Linked DNA regions of Arabidopsis thaliana. The protein of the gene in region 2 interacts with the protein of the main gene of each other region in a pairwise test. Each region holds a gene or a part of one and is shown on either strand. Other genes may lie near its edges. The genes, in order: ATGRIP, RABH1c and POK.

The links.
Region 1: the proteins of RABH1c (region 2) and ATGRIP come close enough for resonance energy transfer, tested with the Arabidopsis thaliana proteins (one study listed by BioGRID).
Region 3: the proteins of RABH1c (region 2) and POK come close enough for resonance energy transfer, tested with the Arabidopsis thaliana proteins (one study listed by BioGRID).

What each region holds. Positions count from the first base shown.
Region 1 is NC_003076.8:26,404,369-26,412,050, forward strand, and holds ATGRIP (Golgi-localized GRIP domain-containing protein), read right to left. Parts: upstream 5,988-7,682; 5' UTR 5,714-5,987; intron 5,577-5,713; 5' UTR 5,521-5,576; coding exon 5,115-5,520; intron 5,026-5,114; coding exon 4,910-5,025; intron 4,733-4,909; coding exon 4,563-4,732; intron 4,452-4,562; coding exon 4,358-4,451; intron 4,200-4,357; coding exon 4,113-4,199; intron 4,013-4,112; coding exon 3,932-4,012; intron 3,807-3,931; coding exon 3,681-3,806; intron 3,355-3,680; coding exon 3,246-3,354; intron 3,154-3,245; coding exon 3,074-3,153; intron 2,882-3,073; coding exon 2,753-2,881; intron 2,666-2,752; coding exon 2,565-2,665; intron 2,394-2,564; coding exon 2,260-2,393; intron 2,175-2,259; coding exon 2,077-2,174; intron 2,017-2,076; coding exon 1,897-2,016; intron 1,768-1,896; coding exon 1,719-1,767; intron 1,607-1,718; coding exon 1,548-1,606; intron 1,403-1,547; coding exon 1,331-1,402; coding exon of another isoform or gene 1,325-1,330; exon of another isoform or gene 1,260-1,324; coding exon 1,212-1,259; and 7 more. Other genes in the region: ATSAC1B (Phosphoinositide phosphatase family protein), read right to left, coding at 17-100, 188-323; STR16 (sulfurtransferase protein 16), read left to right, coding at 6,189-6,277, 6,364-6,437, 6,501-6,625, 6,697-6,771. UniProt on the Arabidopsis thaliana protein: Golgi matrix protein playing a role in tethering of vesicles to Golgi membranes and in maintaining the overall structure of the Golgi apparatus.
Region 2 is NC_003075.7:18,503,984-18,508,287, reverse strand, and holds RABH1c (RAB GTPase homolog H1C), read right to left. Parts: upstream 2,370-4,304; 5' UTR 2,177-2,369; coding exon 2,060-2,176; intron 1,711-2,059; coding exon 1,640-1,710; intron 1,555-1,639; coding exon 1,466-1,554; intron 1,386-1,465; coding exon 1,271-1,385; intron 1,178-1,270; coding exon 1,087-1,177; intron 991-1,086; coding exon 829-990; 3' UTR 585-828; downstream 1-584. Other genes in the region: AT4G39880 (Ribosomal protein L23/L15e family protein), read right to left, coding at 3,151-3,687; AT4G39870 (TLD-domain containing nucleolar protein), read right to left, coding at 4,013-4,099, 4,216-4,300. UniProt on the Arabidopsis thaliana protein: Protein transport. Regulator of membrane traffic from the Golgi apparatus towards the endoplasmic reticulum (ER).
Region 3 is NC_003070.9:26,862,038-26,869,703, reverse strand, and holds the start of POK (Vps52 / Sac2 family), read right to left. Parts: upstream 6,118-7,666; 5' UTR 5,969-6,117; coding exon 5,942-5,968; intron 5,842-5,941; coding exon 5,747-5,841; intron 5,647-5,746; coding exon 5,589-5,646; intron 5,417-5,588; coding exon 5,321-5,416; intron 5,185-5,320; coding exon 5,083-5,184; intron 4,928-5,082; coding exon 4,844-4,927; intron 4,758-4,843; coding exon 4,677-4,757; intron 4,280-4,676; coding exon 4,136-4,279; intron 3,736-4,135; coding exon 3,644-3,735; intron 3,357-3,643; coding exon 3,275-3,356; intron 2,992-3,274; coding exon 2,809-2,991; intron 2,343-2,808; coding exon 2,227-2,342; intron 2,138-2,226; coding exon 2,079-2,137; intron 1,839-2,078; coding exon 1,738-1,838; intron 1,366-1,737; coding exon 1,315-1,365; intron 1,065-1,314; coding exon 885-1,064; intron 795-884; coding exon 660-794; intron 509-659; coding exon 434-508; intron 333-433; coding exon 275-332; intron 192-274; and 1 more. Other genes in the region: ATWHY2 (WHIRLY 2), read left to right, coding at 6,313-6,344, 6,433-6,536, 6,611-6,714, 6,808-6,900, 6,989-7,083, 7,167-7,240, 7,449-7,537. UniProt on the Arabidopsis thaliana protein: Acts as a component of the GARP complex that is involved in retrograde transport from early and late endosomes to the trans-Golgi network (TGN). The GARP complex facilitates tethering as well as SNARE complex assembly at the Golgi.

The DNA.
Region 1 (7,682 bases), on a different chromosome or scaffold from region 2:
ATCTCTGAAATTTCACCTGCCAGGAGCTTCAGCATCCCAACCACACCGAAAATGGAGCGGATTTTAGGGACACGCAAAGAGTTGCATTCTGCTACTTGATCTGAGACAGGCAAGAGGATGCATTACACATACATGCATAAGAGAACAAAAAGATTCCAATATAACGAGGCAAAAACAGGAAACACACCAATGAGCTTCATGGAGCCGTCAAGACGACTAATATCCAAACATGAAGCGGAGGAACCATCGGTTGGCTCGATGACGTACTGATCAGGGAATTCCCACAAACGCAAGCCAGAGTGTATCTTGAGCCTACTCACCATGGCTTCCAGCAAGAGGAAGAAGAACCAATCACCTTCTTCGTTACGAGATTTGAAACTAGTAGGCGAAATGAATTCCGCTCAATTAAAATGGCCTTCAAGGCAGTGAGAGTGAGACCCGTTCAAATTGATTCCGTACATAACGGTTGACCAATAACAACAAGTCGACGACCGTTATTATTATACTATCTTTGTAGTTAATTTTGCGTTGACTTTTTTAGTTTCATTAATTCCGATAATCAGCGGTTTTCTGCATGATTACAATAGACTCCATTAAAAATGGCCCAACAACTCAATTCAGTGGCTTATCCTTTCTTTACATCTGGACAAAAAGTGTTTTCTTGACTTTTAGTGTTCATTACACAAAAACGAAGGACTTAAACACAATGTCGTATGTATGTGTATGTATCTTGGCCCAAAAGAATGTGTCCAGTGCCCACCCGACTATGAAAACGAGAATCTTGAGAAGACTGATAGACCTGAACCCTCACTTGCCGGACTTGGAGTCGCCTCTGTTGTTGTTGCCGCTGTTGTTGAGCTATGGTAGGCTTGCTGACACTTCTGGATCTCCTCTGGACTGAACTGCAGCAACATCCCCACTACAGGTAGTAAAGCCTCCACTTCACCTGCAATTATCACAAGTTAATTTACCCCTAAAACATCTACTTCGTGAATCCACCTTTAATCTCCAGGTTTTTTAACCTGTTTCTAGCAGTTTTAATATCACATTCTTTAGGTATGTCATATCCACGCCTTCTCTCTTCTGTTTTCTTTCCATCTCCCTCAACTCCGTCTTTAGCACTGCTTCCTGTAATTTAGCATACCACCGGAAGTTTGAAATAAGATCCTAAGAAACTGGCAAAGCAACCAAACTCTCGTGTAATCACATACCTGTTGACTGTGAAGACGGTTTTCTCGTTCAAGCTCCTCGATTTCCTCCTGATTCAGAATAAACAGTTACTAATTGCAACATGTGCAGAAACAGATCAATGCAACCAATTCTACTACACCTGAAGAGCTAAAATATGGCGCTGTGTCTGTGCTAACTCTTCTTCTCTCTGAGCTTGTTGCCTTGCCAATATCTGAAATTTGATTATTATGTGTCATGATTAGCTCTCACTGATTTGTCCCGTAGGCCATAGCATTACATTTGAAGGAAATTAAGTTCTAGGATTAAAGATCGCTCCTTGCTCACACAAGCAGACAGCTAACATTACAAAATCCTACCAGAATCTGGTGCTCTGCTGCAGAAGTGCTCAAGTTAGATACATCCTGCTGTTGTGACTCTGAAACCCCGTTTAAAGAAAATAATAGGTTATTGATGACAGGGAACCCACTGATTCATTCATATAGGGAGCCCTTATTAAAAAAATATGGTATCAGGAAAACATCTTGTACCTGTGTTGTTGTTCCCATAGTGGTGAACCTGGGATGGAGATTTGTTCCACTTAATGCCACATGAAGAGTGAAAAGTTTCAGTGCAAATTAAATGAAAAGTTACTAGCGTAAAACCAAAGATAAAAAGGAGAAGTAAGGTAATAAGCAAAAAAAAAAAAAAAAAGAACCATCCACATACTACTGGTTTTGACTCCATAGATTTTCGAAGATTTGTCATCTCATCCACAAGTCTCGATATCTCTCGATCCTTCTCCTCAATGAGTCTATCTGCAAGCTCACGTACTGATTCATGCTCCTCCTGCAGGTATGTCAGTTAGACAAAAAAACTTTTTTATGAGTATAACAAAAAGTGATTTACCTTCATTCGTTTATTCCGCAGTTTGGCATTTTCTAGTTCTTTTTCTATACCTTCTGCAGGTGAGGCTTCATTTTGAGCGGTCAAAGCTTCACATCTTCCTATAGATTACTGTAGCCTTTTAGGAAGGGAATTTCAATTTCCAAGAACTAATGAAAAAACCGAATTTAGATTTGAATCAATTACGTCGCCATGTTTCTTCTAAAACCCGAAGGTCTTCTTCCCAAGCTTGTTTCTCCGCCTGATTGCGAGCAACAGTGGAGTCAAGCTTCACTTCAAGACTTTTGATCTGCTCGCTGGCATCTTTAAGTGCTCCAGCTCTGAAATATATATGAAACAAAAATAGCTCAGACGACCAATATATGTCTGAAGAACTCCATAACCAGTCCCCTGAGAACACCATTTCTCAGTTGTTTTCTCTGGCAAATTGAGGAGAATGAGCAGCCAACCTCCGGAATCAAACATGAAAAAGATTCAGTGTCAATATATACCTCTCTTCAAGTTCTTTCTCAAGGCTAGCCAAAGCACTCTGAAGATCTTGCTGTGCCCTATCCCTCTCTGCAGATACCAAATATACTTCTTTTTCAGCTTCCTAACACCACCCAAAAAGATAATTAGTTGGTAAGCACCTTGGCAACCATCTAAAAATATCTCCATCTTAAGATTCTAGATAACTTACCTTTAGAGCTTCCTCAAGAGATTTAATTTGTTCAGAGTCTTTAGCTGCAGCCAGCTCCATGTCCTTCTTTTGCAAAAGCGCGTGAGCACGGATCTTGTAAGAAGAGAATTCACTTTGGAGCCGGTTGATCTGTGAACAGTTACAAGGAATTCAATATGGTTAAATGAAGACTAGCTAAAGCAGAACATTCCTTAAAGCTCAAAATGGCTCTTTGATTCCATAATAATTCACGTTATGTGATTAAGAATGGATGACTAATAAATTCGTTCACCTAACCAAGGCTACAATAGTTTCCAAAAGAACCAAAAGAAAACTATGTACCTCTTCTCTTGCACCTTTGAGTTCCGCATCTTTTGTGCTTAGTATCTGGGTCTGCATGGACATTTCAGATCCCAGCTGACCTGACAATTTATATGAATGAAATGTCTATAGTCCATAGACAAAAGTAAAACATAACTAGATTAGTTCAACGTTTATGAACTCCGTCAATTACTTCTCATTTTAGCCACTTCGATTTCGGCCTGTAAGTAGTTGCTTTCAGCGATTTCCAGTTTAGATTTAAGGGCATCGCATGAAGCTTCCCAAGTCTCCTTTTCCTTTTCCTAAAGGAACAAAAAAAAATCATGGCTTCTATGAATTACAACAAAAGAAAATAGAGGAATTTATATGGCCAAACAAATAGAAACTCTAAACATGCTGTCTGATGACAGACTGACGCCTTAGATCATGTTTACAATTATCTATACGCACTCCTATATTCATTCCCTGGTTAAAACCATGCTAGTAAATCTGCTAAATGATGGAAATCATTTGACGAGTAGTATGCAAAACAATGTCTTAGAATATACGAATGGGCAACAATAACGAAGGACAAATGACAGTTGGCATCAGAGAGTCCTGCGAATCCATCTTTAAACATTCCACTTACATTCTCTGATTTAAGGTGTGCAAGCTCTCCTTTAAGAGTTTCTGCAGCAGCCCTTAGCCTTGCTGCTTCGCCAGTTGCAGCTGCCTCCATCTCTGCAATTTTAGATTCCTTCTCTGCAAGCAGTACCTAAAAGAGGTGTATACTTGGTGTGAAGAATTTATCACTTATTTCAAACTATTCTCTCTCGCTCATTTGAAAACCAAAGCACATCATCCAGTAATAGAACTAAAGAATTTAGTCAAAAGACTAACCTGCAGCGACGAAATGGTTTCGGCTGCTTTGTCCCTCTCAGATAGAGCATCTACGACCTGTGCTTCCAAACCCTCTAAGTTCTGTCAAGAAGGTGGAGAGAAGAGAAAACCTTGGATGTCATTAGCGGAAAATGGTGGCTCATAGCATATAAGAAGTAACACAATCGCTGATGCTGACTACCTTTTGATGCTTGGCTGACAACTCAGTAACTGCAATTTGCTTTCTCTCTTCCACAGCTTGTAATTGCTTTTTCAGGTCCTCCAGAATCTAGGATTAAAGCAAGTACGCATATGAAGCAGAGTATACAGAGCCATCCCTCCCCCCCCCCCCCCCCCCCCCCTCTCTCTCTCTCTCTCTGTCTCTTTTGTCTCTCTATTTTTCTATATATTGCAGACTAGTATTACAGAAAATGAAAGAGATCAAACCTGGTCCTTATCAAGAAGTGACTGTTGCAATGTCTCAATCTTATTTTCTTTAGGCTGCAATGAGCCACGTAGTTCCTCGATAGTATCCCTGAGCCTGTGTAAAGAGAAAACTCCAGTACTCAAATTCTTAGAGGTAGCTGGAGAAGTGGGAAAGGCGACATTCATTTTATACAATTTCTGTAAAAATTATCTTCGAATTATTTACTTGTTATTGGCACTCCTTAGTTGTTGCCTCTCCGCATCCATTGCTTTAAGTGCTTCATTCGCCTGTTGCCTAGTGCGTTCCAGCTCTTGTTGCATGGATGAGTGTTGAGAAGATGCTCGTTCAGCTGTTTCATTCACTTCCCGGAAACGGGCGTCGAGATCATCTTTTTCCTGAAGATAGCAATATAATATACCACTGAGATTAAGACAGCACATAGCAGCGAAATCTATATGTCTGAAAATGCAGCATAGAAATTCCGAAATAGTATAAGATGGTTTTTGAAACTCACAGTAGCCTCAAAGTGGCTAAAACAGAAAGCATTATAAAATGTAGAGAAAGACATTCACCTTTTGGATTTCTTGAATGCGTTGTTTAGCCCTTTTGTGAAGCCTGGTGAATTTGGCGTCCAGGTCGGCATATTTCTCGTCGCGCTCTTTGATTTCCTGGTCCAGTTTCTGTTCAACTACACCAACAATGTAATAGCACAAGTTGAGAAAAGGCAAACACTGGTTCCGGTCAATGAATGAGCAAATAGAAAAGATGGCTTCTGACCTTGGGAAAACTTAGAGGAGTATTCTTGGGATTTAGCATCAGCCTCAGAGTATGCTTCCCTTAGATGCTCAAGAGCTTGCTCAGCTGCAACTCGAGTTTGTTTTTCCACATCAATTTCTCTGCTCAATGATGCGACCTGTTCTTGAAGTTGTTTCAGCTGAGCAGAGTCCGCTTCCACTTGCTCAGCTTTCTGGAGAGACCTACCTTGCGCTACCTCATCCTTGAGTCCCTCAAATTGGGATCTGAGAAAGTCATTTTCTAATCTCAGTTCAGCAATCATTTGGAGTAGCTGATCACCATTTTCTGTCAGAGTCTCGTTGGAGGCATCATTTAACTCTTTATCTTCTTTGATCACATGGCTCTCCTCTTCTTCTCCAACCACATCAGATTCCTTGTCTTCGGACATCTTGGCAGAGCAGATGTCAGAAAGATGAACCCAGACACTCAAGAGAGCGACGACAACTAGTAAGCGCAAAATCGGGATTTGAATCAACAATCAAAAGAGAAAGGAGTCAAGTCGTGAAATTCGAATAAACCAGCAAAAGCAACGCAAGGAGAAGAGAGATTTGAATGTAATCAGTGCCAGAGAAGAAGCTTACCTTGAGGTGAGGGATTAGAGAAGAGTGTGGAGGCAGAGAGAGAGAGGTCACAAACAAGGAATCACGATTTCGAAATATTGGATCGGATCTCAACCCAAAGGTTAAAAACGTCGTCGTCTCTTTCCCGTCGATCAGTGAGACGGTAAAACGTTGATCTGATCGACTGACGAAGAATGGTAAGAATTGTGTAAAGGGTGTTTTACTAATGAATAATTGCATTCAGAAGCCTTAAACCTTTTGAAAATTCATCAAGTAAACCCAAGACGAGGTTAGCTAAAATGATGCCGTTTTGGAATGGTAATATGAAAATATGAAGGACAGTCCGAAAACAGCTTAGCCCATAAAGCAGCAACTTAGGCCCATTATGTATTTGTAATATATGGCCCAATTATAATCACTTTCCCAACTAATTTATATAAAATGAAATTATTGAAGTCTTTGTCCAGTCAAATATAATAATAAGCCATTGAAAAAAATGGCGGAGGAGAGCAGAGTCCCATCATCGGTGTCGGTAACAGTCGCCCACGACCTTCTTCTAGCCGGCCACCGCTATCTAGACGTCAGGTACCGCCCCACCTTTCTCTTTTGACTATTTCAATCATCAACATAGCATCATTAGGATCTTGATGTAATGGGGATGATGAATATAGGACTCCAGAAGAGTTCAGCCAGGGACATGCCTGTGGGGCGATCAACGTGCCTTACATGAATCGAGGAGCATCAGGTATGTTTTTATTTGGTTAGTTGATAACTGAGTGATGGATATAATTTTGTGATTGTGAAACAGGGATGTCAAAGAACCCCGACTTCCTGGAACAAGTCTCCTCCCATTTCGGACAATCCGATAACATCATTGTTGGCTGCCAGAGCGGTGGTAGATCTATCAAAGCCACCACCGATCTTCTCCATGCAGTAAGCTCCACCACAAAGCTCTTCTTTCTGACTTTTACTTTGTTGGTGATATATAATTTGCGAATTTGCAGGGTTTCACGGGAGTCAAAGATATCGTCGGTGGCTATAGTGCCTGGGCCAAGAATGGCCTTCCTACAAAGGCTTGATGACTCACCATTCACCAAACATCTTTCCTTATCTCTTCGTCTCCTTCTTCTTCAATAATGCATCCTTTCCGCATGTAATCATCAATAAATGACCCTCCTTTCTCTTTGCTGTCTGATGTGATAGCTTGGAGGGAGGGGCTCATCGCATCTTTTTAAAATATATAAAAATACGAGTGTGTGTTGATTGCATCGAAATCTCTATATATATAGTTTAAAAAAAAAATCAATTAGAAAGGAGAAAGGAGCATCCGATCAACGATTATATCTACAAGATTGTTACCTTAAAGGTCCATCTGTTCTTGGCAACAGACAATATATGTGTATATATTGAGTGATCGATGAGTACACAAAGACAACAACACCATATCAACAACTCGATCGTGTGTACAAAACAAGTGGTGTGACCTAACGAGGCAAACTTCAAAATACGAGAGAAGCGACGAGAGAGGACTGAGATATTGACACGGCTCAATCAGATGAGTTAGTAAAAGAGAATCTGAGTGAACCAGGCCAATATCAGAGGGACTCTCTCGGAAACATAGTGTATCTGTTTTGTAAAAGAAACAAGAACGCAAGTGAGAGAATGTCTGTAACTGTAAGGAGATTAAGAAGAAGAAGGGAGTGAATGTGCAACTGCAATTCTGCGAAGCATTTAATAACTCTGCTACTCTCAATGCACCAAAGCTGGGCCACCTCTTTTATTTTTCTAACTTTAACCCGAAAACCAAGTGAATAAGGGAGTGTTGTGTAACCATCGTTTCAGGGGAAATCATTCACGTTTCTTTTAACTTACTGCTTAGTCTTCCACAAGTAGACATTTATGAAGGCACAACAATCCACATCTCTTCTTTCCCACTGTATGTAACCGTCCCTCTTTCGTTTTGTCTGCTTCTGCCCTCAGTTTCTTTCTC
Region 2 (4,304 bases):
ATGAGTAAGCACAAACTAATTCACTAATCAACTTGTTGTGTTACAAGTTTCATTGAGTTGATAACACTAACGAATGTTTGAAGGCTCAATAAAAAAGTAAAACAAGAGAAGAACAAATAAAGGATAACGTTTTTCGTTTTCCAAGAAGAGAAGAAACAACAAAACCTTCCCGCCGATAATCGTAGTGGCCAAAACAAACGCCAATGGAAGCCTTGTTAAGGAAGACAAGGTTTACGGAGTGAAATGGTTTGAAGGAAGTGTTTATTACTCTCCCAGTGATGGTAAATGGGGAAGAACGAATAGGCCACATCTTTTGAGTTATTGTGTAGTTGAGGAATTGTTGTTATACGGTACCGATATGAGCTTCCGGTGAGTGTTTTGGCAAGAGTCTGAGGAATCAGAATGGAAGATAGTTAAAGGTTTGGAGGCTCTAAGAATATCAGTCAAGTGAACAGTTTTGGTGTGAACATTGTTCTCTTCTGGCTTGAGCGTAATGATGATGATGAGAGATTGGATGTTTGGTGTGCCGAGATTTCGTTCGAAAGGTGAGATTTGGGGTACAATTGAGTGGAAGGAAGCTGTCACCACAGTTGATCCTTCTCCCTTTGGTTCATTTGGTGGTGATCAGAATAAGGTTTTGTATTCTGCTACCGTCAATGTCTAAAACAGATCAAATACAGAACAAGGCAAAAGATTCACATGTGTAAAAATAGTAATCCTTTTCTCTTTGATGTTTTATATTCTGTGTCAGTTAATAAGATGAAAACCACAAAACTAACGTGATCCCTTTTGTTTGCTTCACAAGTTTTGGAATTATGTATTTTTGAATCAACAAGAACAGCCTCCACCACCACCTGCTCCTCCTTGTTGCTCACCTTGTGATGAATTTGAAGTGGTCTTTAGATTCACATCAACCATGTCATCTGATTTTGTTGCCAATGAATATGAGTCTACCCCGGGTAAAGCTGCAGCAATCTTCCGGAACAAAGCCTGCAAATTGAAGAGATTTGGTGTGTTTAGAAATCAGACAACAAGAAACACTCAAATGAACATCACTCCATACTCTTTGTTGAAGTTTTGTCATACCTTAATGTTGAAGTTTTCTTTGGCACTGGTCTCAATGAACATCACTCCATACTCTTTACCCTTGTCTTCTCCTTCACTGATTGATACTTGCCTGTTTTTCATTATATCAAGATTGACATATATAAGACAAGAGAGAATTATATAGTCCATCCCATCCAATTCTTTGCTTAATGTTTGTATTTACCGTTTTTCAACAAGATCAGTTTTGTTTCCAACAAGAACGATGATAACATTGCTTTGACCTCTTTCTCTGTGAACATCCTCAATCCATTTCGAGGTATTCAGAAACGTTTGCCTATCTGCAACACAAAGTATTGATTGAACACATAAGAACACAAAAAAGAAGGTGAATCAAAGAGAGAAACAAAGGTGGACTTACTGGATACATCGTATACAACAATGGCAACAGAAGAATCTCTGATGTAACTTGGGATTAGACTCCTGAATCTTTCTTGTCCAGCAGTATCCCTTTCAATCAAAACTTGTTTTGTTATTGCTTTTGAAATTAACATGTTAGTTTTTAGGTAAAGAGCAAAAGTAACATTGTTCTCACCATAGCTGCAAACGAACTGTTCGATCTTCGAGGTACATTGTTTTCGATAGAAAATCGATTCCAATGGTAGGCTGCAGAGAGTCAGAGAGAACACAAATAAAGGCTTAATGACTAACTAAGAAAGCAAAGAAGCAACAGTGCTTAGCATCATCGATCTTGATCATAATAAGAAGAAGAGATTGATAAATCAACCAAAAAAACAGAGAGCAGAGTGATCAAACAAATGCATTGAAGAAAAACCAGAGTGATATCAGCGACGTAATCTAGGACCAATATGAGATGAAATCGTCTGAACAATCGTAATATAGGAAATAATGAATCAGATCAAACAATAAAAAAACGAAAACAAAAGAAACTTGTTGTCGCAGAGAAGAATTTAAATGAATAAACAAAACAAGTGAAAGGAATCTGTGTAAATACCTGGTACGTGGTGTCGAATTTGTCATACATGAAACGAGTGATGATGCTGGTTTTTCCGACAGATTGGTCTCCTAAGAACACCAGTTTAAACTTTGCCAAAGGTGAAACCGAAGCCATATGTTCCGTTCCGTTGGAAGAAGAAGGAAAAAAAGAAAAAGTGTGATTCAAAGATCAGAAGAATCAGAGTCTCGTCTTTCTTAGGTCTCGACGATGAAGAAGAAGGAGAGCACGACGACGATGACTCGGTCGCACACAAACTTGACAACCTTCACAAAATCGCCACGCGCCCAAATATATTCAACGATTTCCGCGGAGACTTTATATAAGAAGCGCGTCGATGCGGTTGGGTGTATCTGTGTTTAAAAAAAATAATATTTTTTAATGATGAATGTTTTCTAAAATTTCTATGATCAAAGTCTTCTTCATTAATCTTTTAAATCGTTATTTGATTAATTAAAACCTAAACCAAAAAAAGACCTTTAAGCCAAACAAATTTTTGTTAGTTTGTGAAGATACTAGGTGAGTAGTAGCCTAGTTGTAATCTGTAATGAATACCAAAATCTGAACTAACAATTATTTTAACAATTATTTAGTAAACACCAAGCTACTAGTCCACAAAGTGATGAGATTTTTGGGATGATCAGAGATGACTATATTTATTGGCTAATGTAGTGATTTGTCACAATTTTATCATACGTTTTGCATCTGCGTAATGTGATCGAACATTTGAACATAAGCCCCAAATCCACAAACAATAAGACTAATAAGAGGTTTCTCAAAACTTGAACAGACAAACAAAGCACCATCACCAGAGTTAATCCCCTTAAGCATTCTTATAGATTGCAATTAAGAAAAAAAGCTTTAGAACTCGGGAGCAGCAAATATCATATAGCTAATCAGAGATCACTAAGAGAAAGATTACAAACAATTGGAAACATCTTGATTCAGATTTATTAGCCAAATCTCAGAAACACTGAGAGCTTCAATGATTCAGATTCTCAATACACAAACCTCAAGTAATAGAAACAACAAAATCAATAATCCGATAGCTAAAGAAACACAAACCCCAGATCATAATCTGCTCATAAACCCTACTTACCAACAAATCTCATGTTGCTCCATGGAAACTTGGCCGTCCCCGCCGCCGCAGCACCACCTCTCGTCGGAGAGTTAGCCCTTTCACCACCTCGACGACCTTTACCTTTACCATAACCACCAATCTCCCTCTTCTCCTTACGATCAAGCCAATGACTCTTCTTATCATCTTCTTCCTCAACAAAGCTAGATCCTTTCACTTTACTCTTCCTATCTTCCTCGATATACTTCACCGGAAACAAATCCCTAGAAATCGACAATGGACTACGTAGCGTGACGTAAGCCTTCTTGTAATCAGCTTTCGCTATCAACAAACCACCACGCTTCTTCTTCTTCCCATCCATGTTTAAAGTATTCACCTTCTCCACATCGAATCCGTAGAGCGACTCCAGGACTCGCTTGATCTCGATCTTGGACGCGGAAGGAATCGTTTTCAACGCGAATTCGTGAATGTTGGTCAGCTTCGCAGGCATCAGAAGCTTAATCGGAAGATTCGCGAAATGAACCACTCGTCCTCCCAATCTACTCCCCATTTTCAAATCGGAGCTGAGCTTTTAGGTCAGAAATGAAAAGCAGTAGCAAGGGTTTTTCTTCTTTGATTCTTCCCCACTAAAATTAATCCCTCTTCACACACACATATGCTTTAATGGGCCTTAATGGGCCGAATGAGCCTAATAGGTGGTTTTATTTTGTTATTTCAAAATCATCATTACAAGTGAGAGAGAGTAACATATATGTGATTTTAGCCAAGTTACAAGACAACAAGATTTCTTTTACTACAGATTTATACAACAACAACAACAACAACAACAAAAAGACGAATCTCAGTTGAATTCATTTGGGTTTTCTTTATAATGATCATGACCATCTGCAAAGACCAGGCTCCATTGTTTTGCTGTGAGCTAGAATCTCATCATACTTTGAGCCATACACAAATCCCCATAGCTGCAACAATCAATCAACCAATGGTGTGTTTGTTTGCTTGTTTCAGTTAAAAGGTGTTGCAAAATATTGAAATATAAAGCTTTTATTTTTCAAGGAGAGGGATGAAATTTAACTACCTCCACTTCCTTAACATCAAAGTCCTGAGAGTCTGCGAGACAAGAGTTCCCATACGTCTCTGAGTAAGCGCTCGATCCGCTTAGCCTAT
Region 3 (7,666 bases), on a different chromosome or scaffold from region 2:
GTAATAGAGCAATAGTTGTGTCAATGCAGCTCTCAAAATATCCATACCACACAAGAAGTTACTGAAGGAAGTTATGATGTCTTTGTCCATCAACTCAATCGCTGTCTTCCATCTGCTTCCAAAGTCCTTCACCAGTGGCTCTACTTCAGCAATTGTAATGGACCTCTCTGGATTTAAGCTCGAATCCTCAGCTGCCACATATCTTACAGTTTAGTGGTTTTTCAACTTAACACTCGATGAGTACGTGAAGAAAAGAAAGAAACAAGTTGCTTACAAGCTCGATTTTTCACGAATTTGATCAAATCACTGAAATGCTCCACCAGCAGTTCTTCCTACGAGTTAACATCAGATTTAAGGTTAGGCTACTACAAAGACAGTTTTATGTTATACCCATGAAGCAAATTACAAAGGTAACCTAGTATTTGCCCCTTACCACAAATAATGAAGTGTTACTCTTTAGCATTTCCTCAAAATGCATTTGAATTTTCCCACCTTCTGGTCCAGCTTCCTAAAATACAGGAAGATGATCAAAACAGATTCTTTTGGTAGGTCAGACTCAATTAGTTAAGCCTTGAGATTCGTAGAAAGCCATTTCAAACCAAGAAAACACTGGTCCACATGGGTGCACTTAACATGAGACGGCCAAGGATTCAACTCACCTTCAGTACAGCGATTGTCATATCGTAGTTATTTATGAGAAACACAATTTGCTGCTTTGGCCTTGGGAACAACTTTGCAAGCTTGAGAATCAACCCATCTACAGCCATTCTTAACCGCTCCAGATTTATATCAAGCTGCAGCGGTTCATATATAGTGTCAAGCGATTTGAGTGATGAGAACAGGTAATACATATCACTAGAGACAGAAGCAATCTTATAACGAACCTGCCCATCTCCATATTCAACGTTTAGGTGAATAAACGAAGCCGTGAATTCAGCATAACGCCTCATGACATAGTGAGGATGAACATCATCTTCCCATAATGTCTTAATGTTTGCATCTCTCAGACTGCTAAGGTGTGAGTCAAACACCATCTTGAAACGAGGCCACAAAGAAATATTAACCTGCTCAATTTCCAAAATAAAAGATTCATTGAGAGAGGACTATGAAACCTAAGGAAATCAAACCATAGCCGCATCTATAAGCTTATATCTAAGATCTATACAAGACCTTCAAAGTTATACCAAAAAGAAAACATTTAGCGACCAAGTGAAAACAGCTGAAGATGAGCACAATAATAATGAACTCTTTTTATTGCACCATACATATTTAAATGTTGATCAAACATAATAAAAGAGATAGAGAGGTATGAACCTTGTCCAGATATGAGTCCAGGCATGGAATTCTCCGGCGAGACATGATAAGCTGTAAAAAAGGTGGGAAAGTATTGCTTAACTATTAGTGGACATATAATACCATCATGACCCTTGCAAAAGGCTGGATCATGAAAATAAGTAATATAAGCTACACTAGATTATCATACTGTTGAGAAAAAATATAGACTGGTTGTAATACGCCTATGTGGACCAGTTGAAGGTATATCTACATCGTTAGTTTGCAAGATATTAAGAGAACTCTTTCCAATGCCAAGTTGATAAATATCTAACCATACTTCAATGCATTCTCACATATGTGGGAGACTAGAAAAGTTCAAAAGGGAAGAAGCTAAATAAATTACCTAATTCCAAGATATTCACCAAAACGCAGATAAACTAGTAGTTAGGTCATCGTTAATACCTGGTGGTGGTGTATTATGCGAATCATAAGCATCAGGCCAATAGCATCAAAACAGTTTGAAAGAACGGGATTGAAGTGCTCATCGATGACAGAAAATGGACCTGTATCATTTAAATTTTAGAATTTATCCAAAAAACTGCTACAATTATCATATCCATTGTAAAGTACAAGAGGTTCAGCTTTCTATCCGGAAGAAGAGAAGATAATTTCTTACACGCTGCTCAACACCATATCAAATTTGGTATACCAGTATTACAGGAAAAACAGATGTTCTTCTACACAGCTAACAAAATCCACAAAGTTTGGTACAGCAAAAGGAAGGGAGACAGATTAGAAATTACCCGCAAAAATTTCATAGAATATGGACTCTTCACCAAAGAAATCATCACAAAACATATACCTGTTAAAATGAAAACAAATGACGTTAACCAGGGGGTTGAGCGATGAGCGACAATAACACAAATATAAAAGGGGAAAAATCAACAGAACTCAGAAGTAGCTGTATCCATAAGTAGCTTGTGCAGGCTCCTGAAGAGCACTTCATAAGGATATTTGAGAGAGCTGGCTTCGGCTATGTGCGGGATCAAAGCAGGTTGATCAATATCCTACAGCGGTCATACTGAAACTTAAGTCTTTTAACGAATATTGTTAAACCAAACAAACTTTGGATTTACTTCTTCTATAGCAAAAAAAAACAAATTGATACCACACTAATCCAAATTGAAAATGAGAAAAACAAATCGAAACTTCCATCTATTTGAGGAGCCTTTAAAATTAAGGATACATATCGTAAAAACCAAAACTGAAATGAACCAAAATATTTGATTCCTATAATTTATAACCTAAGACTAAAATATCTGAACCAAAACCAAAGTGGGCACTCCTCAATAAAACTTATGGTGTACAATACATTAATATAACTTATACTTTATTTGTAAAGACGCAGACCTAGTACCATCTTTTGTATTAAAGAGTCAGAAGAGCAACTCATTTTATATAACAAATTCGCCAGAGCATGTAGAATGGTCGAAAAAATCAATCAAAAAATGATAACTGCTGAATGATGCATACCTTTATAATTTTTATCCTGTCACCCAAAGCAAAAACGGCAGAGCGGTTCTTTAGTGGCTCCCTAGCTCTTGAGAAGAGGCCGGTGGTTCTGGTCTCTACCCCAATTAAGTCATATGCTGTGGCTATATCTAACTGTAGTTTCTCAAGTGCTTGAATATAAGCACGAAAATGTGCACTTAACACCTGAAACAAGATCATACAATACATAAGGTGTAATAACATTTAAAAGCCTAAGCTAGCAAACAGCATTTTTATCTAACCAACTAGCTTTGTCCAATTATAGTTAGAAAACAAGAATAGAAGAATTACTTGCATGTAACGTACAATTGGATGTTGTATCCACTACCTTGCATATGCGGAGAATAACCTTAGTCAAATCTATCTGTGTATTCTTCCTCATTCAACTAAGACTATATAAAGGAGTTGCAGCATAGTGTAAGAAATCAAACAAGATAAAGAATATCACCTTGTTCATGGTATCAATGTATGCAGCACGAACATCCATAAACACTTCTTTTCCATGTTCCTTGAGGAAGGAGATAATATACCTATCATTAAATTGTAATTGGTGAATGAAGTATGTATCCACATAAGTCTTGTAGAAGCAATATAATATCAAGTTGGATATCAGTAACATGTAAAATAAAACAACTCCGTCAACATCACAAAGGGAAAATCCAAACCAAGATAACTAACCAAAACGTTTGTAAGGTGATGACCACATACACATGCAGAAAAAGTTAACAGAAACATACATGCAAGACAGGAGACGTTGTACAATTTGTAGTTTCACTACGTCAAAACCAATTAAAGGGGCTTGGAGAGCATAACTCACTTGTACTTTAATAACACACTCTGTTGAAGAATCTGAATGTTTGTTTTGGGTTTCCTCAGGGCTATAAGCTTCTGGACAATAAAATCATACACCTGCAAAACGAATTTAAATCTATTGCATGAGAACAAATTTAGAATGCTCCATCGACGTGCAGTCGTGCATGCCCTTTCAGCATTGGACGAGAACAAACACAAATGACTTAATACAGAACTAAAAGTTGAATTTATCGCAGATGGCAACTTTTTCCTGGCCATAAATTCTTTCAGAGGGAAGGAACAATGATTCATCTCATTGAGGTAGAATAAGTTGAGTTATATCAGGAACTTAACTTTTCTGTAGTTTTTTATCAAACAATTAACAACTTTAAGAAATATGCATGTATCAGTGTGTTTTGAGAGTCAATAGGTACAGTTATGTTTGGACCTATCACACTCCCTTCAGCGAAATATATAAGTTTTTGGTATCAAGTAACAGAGAAAGTAGATCAATAACCTTGGAAATAGCTTTCTGCCGAAGCTTTTCGAGCTCAGGCTCTACATCTTTTAACGCTTTGGAACTTTTAACTGCCTGATCTGCTTCTACAAATTTTAGCTTCTTACTCAGAATTTCAAGCGTTTTCATATACTCTTCATTCACCTGAATAAGGAAAATAATACGACTATCAGATTAGCAATAAAAATACCCTCAGCAATCCAACCTAGGCTTAAATGCACCACTATGGTTTTACAAAAAAAACACGTACTCAGGGGACATAAAGATAGGACTAAATGGTGTAAGAAAACAAAATGAAGAAAATTTAATAAATTTTAGTATTGCACATAGGGGAAGCATATACCAAGCTTAACCAGAAAATGTTGTTTTTCTATTTTTCCTCCATGTTTCAGATTACAACATATGCACCAAATCAGTAATTCTTATAGCACCAGAAACAAAAAGAAAAATTAGACATGTATACAACATGACGAGATCCTACAAAATTCCTACAAATCTCCAACCCTACCAAAGCTACATAAAAAGTGAATTTGAAAAATACCTCTCCGTCAACAATTACATCTATCATCTTTGGTGGCACTATAATGTCTTCGACAAATTTTGCTAGCTTTGATTCAGCCACCTATTCAAATAGAAGAGTTCATTTGGATGAGTCACGAGTGAAAGCAGCAAGAGATAATACCAATAGTGGTTTCTGATTAGCTATACCCTGCGGTTTTTCAATCTCAAACCCATGTCCATTGACTTTTCTTGAAGAATCTTTATGTCTGAACTTATAGAACCAATCTCTTCCTGAAAGAAAAGAAGCAAAGTGCACATTTAGATTACCAGGAAAAAATATATGTATTTCAAAGTAAAAAAATTCCTCCCATTAAGCAAAAGTCAGAATAAGGAGAAAGAAGCACATACATACACACAAATTATATAAATGTCTAATTTTCAAATACCTGAAATCCACTGAGAAGAGTTTCCATTTGTGACAGGATGCTGTCACAGTCACGAATCTGATCGTGAAGTGAGACTAGGTTGTCACTTTCCTTTATGTAATCCTGAGTATTCATGGAATGTAAAGCATTTAAGTTAGTTACTTACGATATCAAAGAAATTCCCGAACTTATAGACGGAAGTACATAAAAAGTAGAAAACAACAAGTGCCACAATGTAGCACAGGTAGAGAATAACAACCTCGATTGAATCCAATTCAACCTTGCGTAGATTGTTTTCAACCCCTTTTGCATATTCTCTAAGTTTGTCACCACTAGACAGTATATTGGCAACAACCTGACATTTCACACAAACAAGATAGAAAGGACATCATATCCATGGATCTAACATTCTATGATCAATCCATGTACTCCAAAGTAACTCAAATGAGAGTAGAAACAATACTTCGAAAAAGAAGAACCGAGGTGCTAGCTTTATAAGTTTGATCTCAGTTAAGTGAATAACTTACCTCATCACTTTCACATTCTTCAAGTTCTTGTTGAAGCCCTTCCAATGAAATATCCTCACTGCCAAACAAATCAAAGGAGAGCATTCTAATCAGAAGAACAAAGAGAAGCAGAAACATATGTTATAGTCGAATTAAGATACAAAACATGAGAACGTTACCTGCCTGAATCTTCTTCAAAAGCCAAGTCTCCAACAAATGCTCCTAAATCAAATCCAAGTTTCTCATGATTACTAAAGTCCCCCATAGTTTGGCCCTATGAATTTCAGATAGAAGAGCAAAGCGAATTAGACAAGAGATCATAAAGGATCCATGATTAAGGCTAGAAGATCACGAATGCAAAAAAAATGAAGTACCAATGCGTCAATGGAAATGTCGGACATCTTCCTAATGAGATTAAGAGTTGAAAGATCTTCAACTAGAAAACGAAATCAGAATCCTCGAAATCAGTTTGAGTCCGCCATTAGAGAGTCTTCTTCTTCTTCTTCTTCTTCTTCTTCTTCTTCTTCTTCTTCTTCAGCTTCACCTTTCTCAGATTCGTTCGTCTTCTCTAATCTGATTTTTAATTTCCCAATCAACAATAAAGGCCCATTGGGCCGTTAAAAGACTTATATATAAAACAAACGGGTTAAAATATGGGTCGCCCGATAAAACCCGTTTTGATAAATCATAAAACCTCAGAAGTCGGAAGACCTCAAGTGATGCTTTTTACTCGAGACAGAAGAAGATGATGAAGCAAGCCCGCTCTTTGCTCTCCAGGTTACTTCAGTTCCTCTCAAAATTCAGATTTTAGATTTCATTACTCTTAAAATGGCTTCTCTGGGTTGGTTTGTTTTTGTTAAAGCAGGAGCCTTTGTGACCAAAGTAAGTCACTTTTCGAAGCTTCGACGTTGCGTGGTTTTGCAAGCTGGTCAAATTCTTCAACCCCTGGACGTGGATTCCCTGGTAAAGGTAAGAACTTGGTTTGTTTCCGTTTCGTCAGTTTAAGTGTACTTGCCCTAATTTTGTTTGCTTGATTTGAGAAGATGCCGCAAAGCCTAGTGGTCGATTGTTCGCACCTTATTCTATCTTCAAAGGAAAAGCTGCTCTCTCTGTTGAACCTGTTCTTCCCAGTTTCACTGAAATCGATGTAAGCCCAAAATCCATTTCTTTTTAGTTTTGTGTGTTCTCTTTAAAGGCTTCTTTTAGATTCTCATTACTTACTGTGAGTACAATTGTTTAGTCGGGAAATCTTCGGATAGATCGTCGTGGATCCTTAATGATGACTTTTATGCCTGCTATTGGTGAGCGTAAGTACGACTGGGAAAAGAAACAGGTATTGATCTTTTTCACACTCTCTATCTTCTTCACTTGTCTCTTCTTTCTCCTCTGATAAATTTGGTTTGTTTCCTACATTATTGCAGAAATTTGCTTTGTCACCTACTGAAGTTGGATCCTTAATTAGCATGGGTTCCAAAGACAGCTCCGAGTTTTTCCATGACCCTTCCATGAAATCAAGGTTTGTCTTTTTTTGCTTCAATACATTATATTTTTATCGCAGCATTTTCATGTTCTGACATAGACTTGTCTTTGACTCCTCAGTAATGCTGGTCAAGTCAGGAAGTCACTGTCAGTTAAGCCCCACGCAGATGGTAGCGGCTACTTCATCTCATTGAGTAAGGCTTCTATCAAATTAACATGGATAATCAGTACTGAAATACTTAGTTATGGGAGCTTTCTGTTTAGTAAATTTAGAAGCTTGCACTTGTATTAGTTTTGTAATATGGCGATAACAGTTTTCGCACAGAATAGCTGTCTTATAACAATAGGAATGCTGAATTCTTAATGCTGTATAAACACTTACCTTCTGCGGTTTTGTTGCAGGCGTTAACAATAGCATCCTCAAAACCAATGACTATTTTGTGGTTCCTGTCACAAAAGCTGAATTTGCAGTGATGAAGACAGCTTTTAGTGTAAGATAAGATTTTTATTCTGCGTTCTCTATATTCTGTTACTATTATATCAGTTCGAGAACCAAAAACATTGACTAGAAAAACCAAGGGCATTGCTTCTCTGTCAGTTTTAGCACATGAATCTGGATC